Linked DNA regions of Caenorhabditis elegans. The protein of the gene in region 1 purifies or fractionates together with the protein of each later gene. This does not show direct contact. Each region holds a gene or a part of one and is shown on either strand. Other genes may lie near its edges. The genes, in order: spe-54 and trm-2A.

Region 1 (4,572 bases):
TCCACTTGTATTGCATCTCGATATGCTTTTCTCGCTGCTCCACCATCTTTCACATATTCCTTGGCCGTCACCTCCGAATCAAGAAACGAAACAGGATTTGTAATTGTCGATTGAACAGTTTTCGTTGTCTGCGTCATTGATGGTTCCTTTGTCGTCTTCATTGTTGATGGTGATCTTGTGGTCTTCATCGTCGGCGGCGCTACTGTCGTTTTCATCGTCGTCGGAGCCATTGTCGTTCTCATCGTCGGCGGAGCCACTGTAGTCTTCATCGTTGAAGGTGCTATAGTCTTCTTCGTTGATACAGGGGTCGGCATTCTTCAGCTAGTTCTTCTTCTATTTTGTTATAAATCCTTTGCAAATTCCGATGAAATATTCTTCGACTGCGAAATAAAATAATGATCAACTTTGATTAAAAGTAAGTTCCAGTTTTTTTTTTCAATTTTGCAGCATTTTTTTCACGAAAGGTCTAAATATGGCACGAAAAGTCCACGTTCAATGGAAATCTATAATTTCAATTTGAACAAGTCCACGTAAATTGTGTATATTTAAATATCCAGTGTTTCTTTTTTTTGTGTAACTTTTCAAATAGTAAGCCTATTAATGAAGCGATTTTGCGAAAAATATATAATGATAAACAATGCGTGGTAGGGAGGCAGGCATAAAGCAGGTTGATATACTGCCTACCTAATTGTGTACTTTTATCCACTTCAACTACTTTTGAATAAACAAAAAGTGAAGCATGCAAAGCTTTATTCGTTTCATTCAACCCATAAAAAGTATGCAATTGTCTATTTCTTCTTGTATCTATTGCACAATTCAATAAGTGAGTTAATTCCAAGATCGTAGCTGTCGAATGTATCAAACGTATTGCTTCTCATGAAACTGAAAAGATTTCAGATTAGAATAATTATAAATAGTGAAAAGGGGAACGTACCGAATTTGTTTGATAGTGTCAGTGTGCTTGGCCTTCCCGTGTTTCATCAAACGATCCGCTTCCGTATCGATAAAAGCCACTAAACCGCTTCTAAAAAGAAAGGGTAATTCGCTTAACAATAACGATAAACTATTTTTAATATTGGAAAAAATCATACTTTGCAGCTCCATCTTTGCACACAATAACCAAAGGACCCTTCAATGGGCATCCCAAATACTTTCGACTTTTCTCCAACATATCATTGATTTCAATTGCCGAAAGTGGTTCAGCCCAACGACAAAACTTGATTGCTTTCAAATGCAGACCGTTTTCCTTGATGACGGCAGTTGACACGAAATCATTTTTCCCTGTTCCTTTTTCAAATTTTGCCGTTATTGCACTGAAAATGTACTTTTGAAATAACTTAATTCTCTGAATAAGATCAATTGCTATGAATCAAAGCTCGTACCTTGAAAACTCGTCCGCTCCTTCAGCAACAATAAGACCTTCAGCCTTCACGTGCTCCAAAAGTTTAAAAAAGTCCTTGGCTGCGCTGGCATCACGTGGAGCTTGAGCAAGAATGTATTGATCTGAATTTTCAAAATTAATTTCAAAATAATAAATGATATTCATACTTGGCTTAAGCCCATCAACCCAAGAAGCATGGTAGTAGTCCACACCAGGAACAATGACACGGGTGGCGTCGTAAAGCCAGACATCTAAAATGTTTATGATACTTTTGAAGCCAAAAGTCTTTTAAAGGTGGAGTAGTACAGGTGAAGAATTGCGAATGGCTTAAATAGACATTTAGTTCTTTCAATCTATTTTGAGTCACACTAGCGCAACTTCACCTACAATATTCAAAACTTTTTAGTTGTTGAACTCACTTTCGGAAAAATTCTTATCTTTCGGTGACTTAAAATAGTTGAAAAAGGTTGGAGATTCCAAATATGTTTCCTTGTAAAACTCTGCAACTCCAGCTTCAAAACTTTTCGAGTTCGTTTTGGAATTAATCTGAAAGTTTGAAGTTTTCATATTTTATTAAACCTGATCAATAAGTTTCCTGTATAAAAGAAAGCAAGCGCTAACTTTAATTAAAATTAAACATTGTAAACTTACAAAATCGCAAAACTTTTTTGGGGAAAGCATCGTCGTCTTTTTTTTACGAGTGGAACGGGTTGAAGCACGATTATTGACGGCAGCTAAGAGACTTGCACGACCATTTGTTTGAACAGTATCCGCCATTTTCTGAAAAAAAGAAGTGATATGAACAAATTGGATTTTTCTGATTCCGAATAAATCACTAAAACGAGAAAGGCGTGTAATCCGTCATGCACAAAACTAGGAACATTAGTGGCCCTGTAGACAAACATGCACTAGTAGGCATAACGTATGCAGGCGTGTAGGCAGAAATAAGACAAGACCGTTGGCAAGTAGGTGGACCACTAGCAAACAGGTATTACTCATGCAATGGATTATGTGGTAGGAAGTAAATATAAATAAAATTCTAACGAAACTGAAGAAGAACGCTTTTTTTAAAATTATAATCCCACTGTGATAAGATAACTTACTGACAAATTTGAACCTCTCGATTCTTTGCTTCCACGACACAATAGTTTTTGTTTAGGTAATAAATTGAATTCTTATTTTTTTATTTTTCTAGGCATCGTTGTTTTTCTTCTGTCCCCATGCCCTGCCCCTGAACTTTGTAATAGTTTCTGCCGTTAAAAATAATGTTTATATTTCCAACTATTTTTTGAATTATCAAAACTTACTTGCTTATATTATAAACTTATAAGTTTTCACGTTTTATAAACTAATATATATTTTCAACTGATGTGAATCAATATATTTTGCTCATCAAAAGATGTTAGCCGACATGTTTGTTTTCATTTTCTACAACTTTTATAGTTTCAAATTTTAGAGTTTAATTTTAATGCAGGCTTCTTTTTGGTATTTGCCACCGATCTTTAATTTGATTTGAAAAAAACTGTCAACCTTATCATATAACTTTTTCCGTTGAAAAAAGGAGAAAATCACGAGAAATTCACGAGAAGAGATGAAACAAAAAAGTGAATGAATCAGGTGACACCTTCTGAACTTTTTGTCTTTTTTCAATTTTTCATTGTGGTACAACAAAAAAAGGAAATAAAAAAGAACAAAATTTGAATTCTTATCTTATCTTATCACTTATCATATCAATTTGCCAAAGTTTTGGGAACGAGACAGTGGGTTTCTAGGCCAAAGATGATGGTTCTAGGCTTTGAAATTTTCTGTAGGTTTTTACATTGAAATCATAGTCCTACAAAAAATGTCAGAGACTTCACTGTTTCAGAAACAGTGCGATTAAATTTTAAGGTGGTTAAATTTGAATGAAACTAGAGAAAAAACGCAGTTTATAGGAAATCAATTATTTTAAGCATACTTTTTAAGAAAGGATTTCGGTTGTGACTTTTACAAATTCTGTATTATGATTGTTTTTTATTTATTGCCCCTTCGTTTACTCTACGCCCGCAGTTTTTGCTGACCGGTATCTTGTCTAAACGAAATATTTAAAGTTTTTTTCTGTTTCATTTTAAGTTTTCACTTTGTTGGGAGACGTTTTGCAGACGAGCGGACGAGGGAAGAGTCAAGAGTGGTCCTCTCCTGATATTCTAAGTCTTCTGTAGAACGTAAATAAATTCAATTTAATTCAAAATATTAAGAAAACTTGGTTGTAAATAGATAGCAATTCATTTTTGACAAATCTATCACCGTTTGTCACCATTTGCAAGTCACAGTGTGCGTTATGTCCGTTGGTGATATGATCAGCGTGTATTTGTCATGGTTAACATGAGAATTCTGAACCACTTTGTTGCTTCAAACCCAGTTAAGTTCCTTATTAATTTGATGTTATTGAAACATTTGTCATATTTTCAGTTAACAGTTGAATTTCAAATCCCCGGTGTTTTTTTAAGATTTTTTGCAAAATAATTTTTTTTAAGTTTCAAAAAAATGGAAAAAGCCACAGCAATCTAAAATTTTCTGATTTTTGAAGATAAAAGTTGCTTCAAGCTTCATAAAATTAATTTATTTTCATGGAATGCTTCATACAATTAAATCACATATATTTAGAAATTGAAAGAGTGAGATTGATTTGAATTTAAAGCCCGTAATTCGATTGAGATGATTGATATGGCAGAATAATTTGCAGAATCCTTTTTAAAATTGATAATTTGAATATGATACGTTGACACCAACAGAACTGACTGTTTCCCATGAATCAAATGAATTTCCAGTCCATTGTTTTTCAGCTTCTTCGGCTTCTGCTTTGAGAATCTCCTCGAATGGTTCATCAAATTCTTCAAGTGAGATTATTTCTAGCTTTCCAGACATTTTTGAAATTATAGAGTTGATTTGAAATTGCTGAAAATAGATTCAGTTAGAAAATTTGTACCAAGAAAGTTAAAGAACAAGAAATGAAAAGTTTGGGAAAATTGAAGAATGAAAGAAGAAACGAGAATATGAAGAACAAGAACGATTTCAAGTTTCTTGGAAACGAAAAAAAAATTGTCAAACTTTGTTTTATTCTTGTACAAAATCATAAGATTCACATTTTTTGCCCCATTCCCTTTTCATTTTATACCCCCATTCTCTTCTCTTCCGACCCACCTCCTTCG
Region 2 (8,284 bases), on another chromosome or scaffold:
CGTATTGGACAACATAATTGACGCGCAAAATATCTTGTAGCGAAAACTACAGTAATTTTTTAAATGACTACTGAAGCGCACACGTTGATTTACGAGCTCGATTTTTGAAAAGTGACAGCGATATTACATTTAACTGTGTTTCTTAAAGGAGGGCGCATTTATGAGAAAGGGTCTCGCCACGCGCCATTCATTGATTTTTGGAGTGCGTGGCGGGACCATTTCGAAAAAATGCGCCCTCCTTTAAGGTCGTACGAGTGAAGAAAAAATGCACTGTAATTTCAAATTTAAAAAAAATTATTGATAAATAAACTTAAAACAAGTAAAAAAGTGAGCCCGTAAATTGACACAAGCGCTACAGTAGGAATTTAAAGGATTACTGTAGTTTTCGCTACGAGATATTTTGCGCGTCAATTATGTTGTCTAATACGCATTCTCAAAATGTAGTGTTTTATCTATTTTTCTCTTCAAAATGAAGTTTTATATTCAGATTTTCACATTTTTAGGCAAAATTTCAAGAAATTTTTCATTTTTATCACAAGAAAAAAACGGTTAGGGTATAAAATTGGTATTGCCTCGCACTTCTAAAAGAGAACCCACATACCTGATAGACGGGAGCCCGGAGGCTCCGGCACCGACCACAAGAAGTTGTTTTTTGGCTACCATTGTCGAAAAAAAAATCGTTACGATTTGATAACAAAACTGTCTTTTCCCAACGTATTTATAGTGCGGTGGGGTGATCAATTTGGGTAGACTGGCTATAACGAGAGATATGGAGTCTGGTGAGAGACGCAGACAGCGAGGGACTACTCGTGTGGTGAACGTGTTTGATCATGGTGCATCAGACTAGAAAAAGGTTGTCTCGTGAACCTTTTTTAACCTTTATGGCTAGAATTTAGTTCAGTCACATTTTAAAAAAGCAAAAGTGTAATTTCATGGTCTCACAGCGATTGAGATATTAGTGTGAAAATTATTTTTAATGATTTTTTTCCCATTTTTCTTTTCTATTCAATCAATAATGACTATTTTTAACAACCAATTCTGCTCAAAAACTAGGCGATTTTTACTTTCTCAGGCCACCTGCGCCACAGCGCCTTTGAAACGGATTTCGATTTTAATTACTACAGTAATCTCTCATTGGAGCGCGCTTGCAAAATTTGCAGTTCTTTTAATTTTTATACCAATTGATTTGATGAAGTTGGCTCAGAAACAGAAGATGAAAAAATGGTTTTTAGAAGAAAAACAGTAAATAATATTTTCAGCGATAAAATTGGTGACAAAATTTAATTGTAAAGTTTGAAAATATTGAATTTTACGTGAATTCTCCTGTTGTGCTGAAAATACATCCTTGCGGGACAGATCAATGGAAAAAAGTGGTTAACATTTTGTTTATATTCAAATTTTAGACTAACCTAGGCTGACCTAGCCTACCCCAGGCTGACCTAGCCTACCCCAGGCTGACCTAGCCTACCCCAGGCTGACCTAGCCTACCCCAGGCAGGCCTATCCTACCCCAGGCAGGCCTAACCTACCCCAGGCAGACCTAGTCTACCCTAGGCAACCTACCCCAGGCAGGCCTAACCTACCCCAGGCAGGCCTAACCTACCATAGGCAGACCTAGTCTACCATAGGCAGACCTAGTCTACCATAGGCAGACCTAGTCCACCCTGGGCAGACCTAGTCTACCCTAGGCAGACCTAGTCCACCCTGGGCAGACCAATTTTCAATTCCGGCAATTTTCCGGTTTGCCGATTTGCCGGAAATTTCCAATTTCATCGACATTCTGAAGTAATATAGCTTAAACTCCACCAATACTGTTTATTTTATATCAGTTTTGCGTTCAAATTGTATCGAAAAAACTCCTTTTTAAACACCCTCCGTTTTAATTCTCAATAGAGCGCGCTTGCCGAAGAGGCGGTGTACTCCTCTCGGACACCTGCGATAATTGTTGTTTTTGATTTATATTCTAGATTTTCCCCGAAAAATTCCGGTTTTCCTTCTTTTTGAATGGTTTTTTACACTAAAAGTCGCATAAAAAAGCTTTAAAACCTTTAAAAATCGATAAATAATCAAGTTTTCCAGGTAAAATGGCGGATCCGGTCGATATTAAGACGGAAACTCCGGAGTTAACTCCAGAAGTCAAAGAAGAAAAGGCAATCGATTTGGATCGGATTCATATTAAGAATATCCCAACATTTATCGGATTCAAGCAGTTCAAGAAAGTATTGGAAAAGTGGGATTTTTTTTCGATTTTTTAATTAAAAAATTGATTTTTTAATTAAAAAAATTGATTTTTTTTCCTTTTTCCAGAATCCTCGGCGACGTAAAATCGAAAAAAGTGCGCCATATGTCAGATTACGCCTATGTGACGTTCGAAACCCCAGAGGACGCCCAAAAAGCTATAAATCTAGTCGATGGCTATGACTACAAGAAATTCATACTGTCAGCGCAGCTAGCAGCCACAGAAGTCAAATCTTTCCGTCCGGCTAACCCGGAAAATACCGAGCCAGCTCAGCAGAAAACCGCCCGTGAAAGTGTAACTCCGCTCGCCGAGATGGAATACGGGAAGCAGTTGGAGTTGAAGCAGCAGAATAGTGTGGGCGTCGTTGAAAAGTTGTACCGGCAGCTAATTCAGAATAAAGTTGCACATTTGGGCAAACAGACTCAATTCCGAGATCGTGTTCTTCGGGAAATTCTCCCCGCACCGAAAACCGCCGGTTATCGAAATAAATGTGAATTTACAATTGGTCACGATTTGAATGGAGAAATTTGCGTGGGATTCGTCGGCGGAAGATTCTCGAAAAATCAGCATTTTGTGATACCGCCCGTCGACGTGGATATTGTCAGCACACAGATGATGGCGATCGTTGGGGATGTGCATGAATTTGTGAAAGAATCGGCGTTGGAGCCATTTAATGAGTTTGATAGGAAAGGATTCTGGCGGATGCTGACGATTCGGGAATTTGGAGGAGATGTTATGCTGATTTTTACGGTTTTTCCGCTGGAGGATGGCGTGGAGAGGATGGAAGAGATTCAGAAGAAGATTGAGACGAGATTTTTGGATTTTGAGTGCGATTTTCTCATTTTTTAGGAAAATTTCCAATTTTTCAGAAGAAAAATGACCAAAATTGAAAATTTTATGTTTGAAACAAAAAAAAATCGATTTTTTCGTCAAACGCACAAAATTTCTCATTTCATTGATATAAAAATGTGGAAAAAAGTGCGTTCTAACTGAAAATAACATTTATTTCTGTTAAAAAACTTATAAATGCCTCAAATAGTCTATTTTTGGTCTTTTCAAGCTTTTCAACAAAAATAAATGCTATTTTCAGTTAGAATGGACCATTTTCTATGTTTTTATATGAATTTTTGAAGAACTTTTAAGTTTCTGAAAATTCCCGGAAAAAATATTTGAAAATCTTCTTACAAACTTTTTTTTTGCAACTTTTTCACGGAAAATATGCAAATTTACCATAAAATTCAATTTTTATCAACCAAAAGTTTGAAATATGTTTCAAAAAATCGAAATTTTTTGTTTTTTCCAACAAAAATTTGTAATTTTTGCAGAAAAAAAAACAGAAAATTTAACAAAAAATTGCTTTGGAAAAAACCGAAAATTTCAGAAAAAAAACCGTCTATTACAGGATCACAAAATTCTGAAAATGCGTACTGGGCAACATATTTGACGCGCAAAATATCTCGAAGCGAAAACTACATTAATCTTTTTAAGGACTACTGTAGCGCTTGTGTCGATTTACGGGCTCGATTTTCGAAAATATTTTCTTGTGAGTTTTGACGAATATTTAAAAAAAAAGTGAAAATCGCTAAGAAAACGGTTTCGAAAATCGAGCCCGTAAATCGACACAAGCACTACAGTAGTCATTTAAAAGATTACTGTAGTTTTCGCTACGAGATATTTTGCGCGTCAAATATGTTGCAAAATACGCATTCTCAGAATTTTTGTGTTTCCGTGTTCAAATGGATCAGGTTTGTAACGACATTTTCAAATAATTTTTCGGGAATTTTCTGAAATTTATAAATTCTCTCAAAACTCATATAAAAATGTAGAAAAAGGTTCGTTTCAACTGAAAATATTATTAATTTTCGTTGAAAAGCTTGAAAAATGCCTCAAATAGCCTATTTGTGGTTTTTTTAAAGCTTTCACACAAAAATTAATGTTATTTTCAGTTGGAACGAACCTTCTTCTGCCTTTTTATATGAGTTTGAAGATAATTTTTGAATTTCAGAAAATTCTCGAAAAATTATTGGAAAATCTGCTTACAAACCTGGTTCGATTTAACACAAAACCAAAAAATTATGAAAGTGCGTACTGGGCAACATATTTGACGCGCAAAATATCTCGTAGCGAAAACTACAGTAATCCGTTAAATGACTACTGTAGCGTTTGTGTCGATTTACGGGCTCGATTTCCGAATTGTTTTTTTTTTTCGAAAGTCAAGCCCGTTAATCGACACAAGCGCTACAGTAGTCGTTTAACGGATTACTGTATTCTTCGCTACGAGACCCTATTTTGCGCGTCAAATGTGTTGTGCAATACGCATTCTCAGAATTTTTGTGCTCCCGTAATACAATCAAAAACCCCATACCTTAAAATTTTTCAGAACATTCAAGGAGAAAAAGTACCGAGTGTGTAGTATCTATTGGCAACAAATGGTTCATATCAGTGATACACCGAACTTCAAGCTGATCGGTGGAACTCCGTACATTTATGAATCTCTGTTGGACTGCCGATTCCGAGTATCACCGCCAGCGTTTTTCCAGACGAATAGCCAGGCGGCGGCGGTTCTCTACTCGACGATTGGAGAGCATTGTGGGCTCAGTGAAAAGGTTCTTGAAGAATCTGCGATTTTATTATTGAAAAGCGCATTAAAAATGCCGAGAAAACGCGCTCCACGGCCAATTGAATACGCCCCGCCCCCAAGCCAAGGGTCTCGTTAGGTTTTCAGTGATTTTCGCTGTTTATTTGGTGTTTTAAATGAATTTTGTGTCAAAAATAATGAAATCAATTTTTTAACAGGATTTTACATGATTTCCACCTAGAAATTATTATTTTTAATGATTTTCTGCAGAAAATAATAATTTTTACTAAAAATCAATATTTTTCTATGATTTTTACCCAAAAAATCAGGTTTTTTTCTATTAATTTTGCCTAAAAATCATTATTTTAAATTTTTTCCCCAGAAAAGCTTTTCTTTCCATAAAACCAGAATTATTCTATGATTTTCACCCATAGAATCAGTATTTTTAACTAAAATCAGAATTTAAACATTTAGGATTCCCCGATGATTTCTACCCGAAAAATCAATATTTTTCAATAATTTTTACCCGAAAAATCAGGTTTTTTAATGTTTTTCCCAGAAAATCATAATTTTTACCTGAAAACTAGGATTTTTGATGATTTTCACTCAAAAATCAGCATCTTCATTAATTTCATCAATTTCAGCAAAAAAATCATTAAAAACCACTGAAAAAATGACAAAAAATGCTTGAAAATTGGCGAAAATTTCCGGTTTTCCCGCCAAAAAAATCAAAATATTGATTTTTAGTAAAAATTATTATTTTCTGCAGAAAATCATCAAAAATAATAATTTTAGGTGGAAATCATGTAAAATCCTGTTGAAAAATTGATTTCATTATTTTTGACACAAAAATAATTTAAAACATTAAATAAATAACGAAAATCACTGAAAACCTAACGAGACCCATGGCTTGGGGGCGGAGCTTTTTCAATTCGCTGTGGAGCGCGTTCACACGCCGAATTTTGAAAAATGCTCAAAAATTTCAATTGTTTCTTAATTTTTGACTGAAAATCTGCAAAATCGATGAAATAAAAAGTGAAAATAGTTTTTTTTCTCCAGAAAACCAACGAAGATGTTCCAGTGGAAACTGATGCATCGGAAAAAGCCCCAGAAGCTCCAGCAGCACCTTCAGAGCCCATCCCCGACGATCCATCCGATGCTCCTCCGGCAAAGATCCCGAGAATCGAGCCGGAGCCCACTGCAGCAGATGAAGCACCTGCTCCAGAAGATCCCGGAACCATCCTTCTTGACATTTGCTGTGGAACCGGAACGATCGGTCAATGCCTTCTGAAAAATATTCAAAAATCGCAAAAAGTGTGCTGCATCGGAATTGAAATGATCGCCGAAGCGGTGGAGGACGCCAAACAAAATGCGAAACAGAATAAAATGGAAACATGCTGTAAATATATTGCTGGAAAAGCCGAGGACACATTCCGATCGATGAGATATCATCTGCCGAATGGTTTTGATCTACGAAAATCGAGAGTGGTCGGAGTGCTCGATCCACCGAGAGCCGGAATGCACGAGAAGGTTATTCTCGCGTGTAGAGAGGTTCGAATATTTGGATTTTAGAAATTCCAAAAATTACCTTTAAAACTTGTAGATTTACGCGTAAATTTTTTTAAAAATAGGAATCGAGGGTGTTCGTTTTTCGATTTTTTAAAAAATTATTTTATCGTTGTTTCGATTTATCAAAAATTAGCTTAACATTTTGGCTATTATTCTTCTTTTTAGAAGAAATTGTTATGTTTTTTCTTACCAATATAATCAATTTTTTTAAATCATAGTTTATGGTTAATTTTCTGAACATTTTTTTCGATTTTTCAATTTTCACTGAAAAACATCAACAAATCTTTAAAAAATGCCGCTTTTGATAGGAATATATTATTCAGACGCGAAATTTCGGGGTTTTCGCGACTTCCCGGTCTCGACACGACAAATTTTTGCGTGCGCCTTTAAAGGTGGTGTACCGAAATCTGAAAAAAAATTTCAAATGACTCCAAATTTTCACCTGATTCCGAATAATTATGTTAAAAAATCCGAAAAAAATTTCCCAGATGTTATATTACCGCTTGAAATCGAGAATTTTCGCGCCAGAGACGCCATATGTCGATTTACGAGATTTGTGTATATTTACGAAATGTTTATTTTATATCGGATGCTGTTTTTCGTTTTTCAATGAGTTTTCTTCGTTTTCGGCGGTTTTTTGTTTGGAAATGTATGTTTTAAGGTCAATTGAACATTCTTTTTAATCAAAAAATTAGAACATTTTCCATAAAAAATTTTTGCTCGTTTTTTTGATACGAAAATGTTTAATTGACCTGAAGAAACACATTTTCGAAAAAAAAACCGCCGAAAATTAAGGAAATTCATTGAAAAAAAAGGAAATCAGCATCGGATAAAGATTAAACATTTCGTAAATATACACAAATCTCGTAAATCGACACGTGACGTCTCTGGCGCAAAAATTCTCGATTTCAAGCTGAAATATAAAATCTGGGAAATTTTTTTTTTTAATTTTTTAATCATAAATATTCGTAATCAGTGGAAAATTTGAAATCTGAAAATATTTTGATAATATTTTCCAGATTTCAGTACCAAGGGTGTCAGTTTATCGAATAAGAAAAAGTTGAAAAACGAAAATTTTTCGATTTTCAAAAATTAGCTTAAAAATTTGTTTAAAAGTTTTTTCGATTTTCCCACGTGGGGTGTCAGAGTGTCCCACATCGGTGTGATCTACAAGAAATGCGGGAATTCCGACGCGCTGACTTCTCAACACATTTCTTATGGTTAAGAGCGAGATGACGTCACATTTTTCTGAGAAAAAATTCCCGCATTTTTTGTAGATCACACCGATATGGGACACTCTGGCACCACGTGCTTTTCGGTTTTTCGAAAGAAAAAACCGGCAGTCCTGGCCTGTAACACCTGAAAACGGTTTTTTTTGCTCCAGATGGAAACAATGCGTCGTCTGATCTTTGTCTCGTGTGAACCAAACGCCGCCATCTCCAACATCGTGAATCTGTGCCGTCCGTCGTAAGTGTATTGCACACACCTAGCACAGTCTTATCTCACTACAATCTAAATGTGATAAGACTGTGTGTTTTTCTCTCCGTCTCCCTATCTCTCTCTCTCTCTCTCTCTCTCTCTCTCTCTCTCTCTCTCTCTAAAACCAATTCATTTATAGGTCTCGAAAATACACTGGAGACGCGTTTTCGGTGACCCGTGTGCAGCCGGTCGACATGTTCCCGCAGACGAATCATATGGAGTGGATTATTCAATTGGATCGTTAATTTTTGCAATTTTATTGTTGTTTTTTTTTCGTTGTTAAATTTTATATTATAGAAGCGCAGAAAAATGCCTTTTTTTTGAAGTTGGCGAGGAAACGCGCTCCACGGAGAACGGGTCTTGTTGGGTATTTTTCGTTGTTTTCTTGATTTCTATGCCAAAATTGATGTAAAAATTGAT

The links.
Region 2: the proteins of spe-54 (region 1) and trm-2A fractionate together in Caenorhabditis elegans (co-fractionation; one large-scale study listed by BioGRID). This does not show direct contact.

The regions. Positions count from the first base shown.
Region 1 is NC_003279.8:8,867,693-8,872,264, reverse strand, and holds spe-54 (Tyrosine-protein phosphatase domain-containing protein), read right to left. Parts: upstream 2,551-4,572; 5' UTR 2,485-2,550; intron 2,162-2,484; 5' UTR 2,159-2,161; coding exon 2,033-2,158; intron 1,928-2,032; coding exon 1,801-1,927; intron 1,633-1,800; coding exon 1,549-1,632; intron 1,504-1,548; coding exon 1,383-1,503; intron 1,314-1,382; coding exon 1,092-1,313; intron 1,025-1,091; coding exon 935-1,024; intron 883-934; coding exon 789-882; 3' UTR 734-788; downstream 1-733. Other genes in the region: snf-2 (Transporter), read right to left, coding at 1-314; F55H12.2 (uncharacterized protein), read right to left, coding at 4,024-4,110, 4,163-4,288.
Region 2 is NC_003283.11:902,885-911,168, forward strand, and holds the start of trm-2A (tRNA (uracil(54)-C(5))-methyltransferase), read left to right. Parts: upstream 1-2,078; 5' UTR 2,079-2,083; coding exon 2,084-2,229; intron 2,230-2,306; coding exon 2,307-3,065; intron 3,066-4,618; coding exon 4,619-4,844; intron 4,845-5,875; coding exon 5,876-6,367; intron 6,368-7,769; coding exon 7,770-7,852; intron 7,853-8,003; coding exon 8,004-8,109; 3' UTR 8,110-8,284. Other genes in the region: fmo-5 (Flavin-containing monooxygenase), read right to left, coding at 602-663.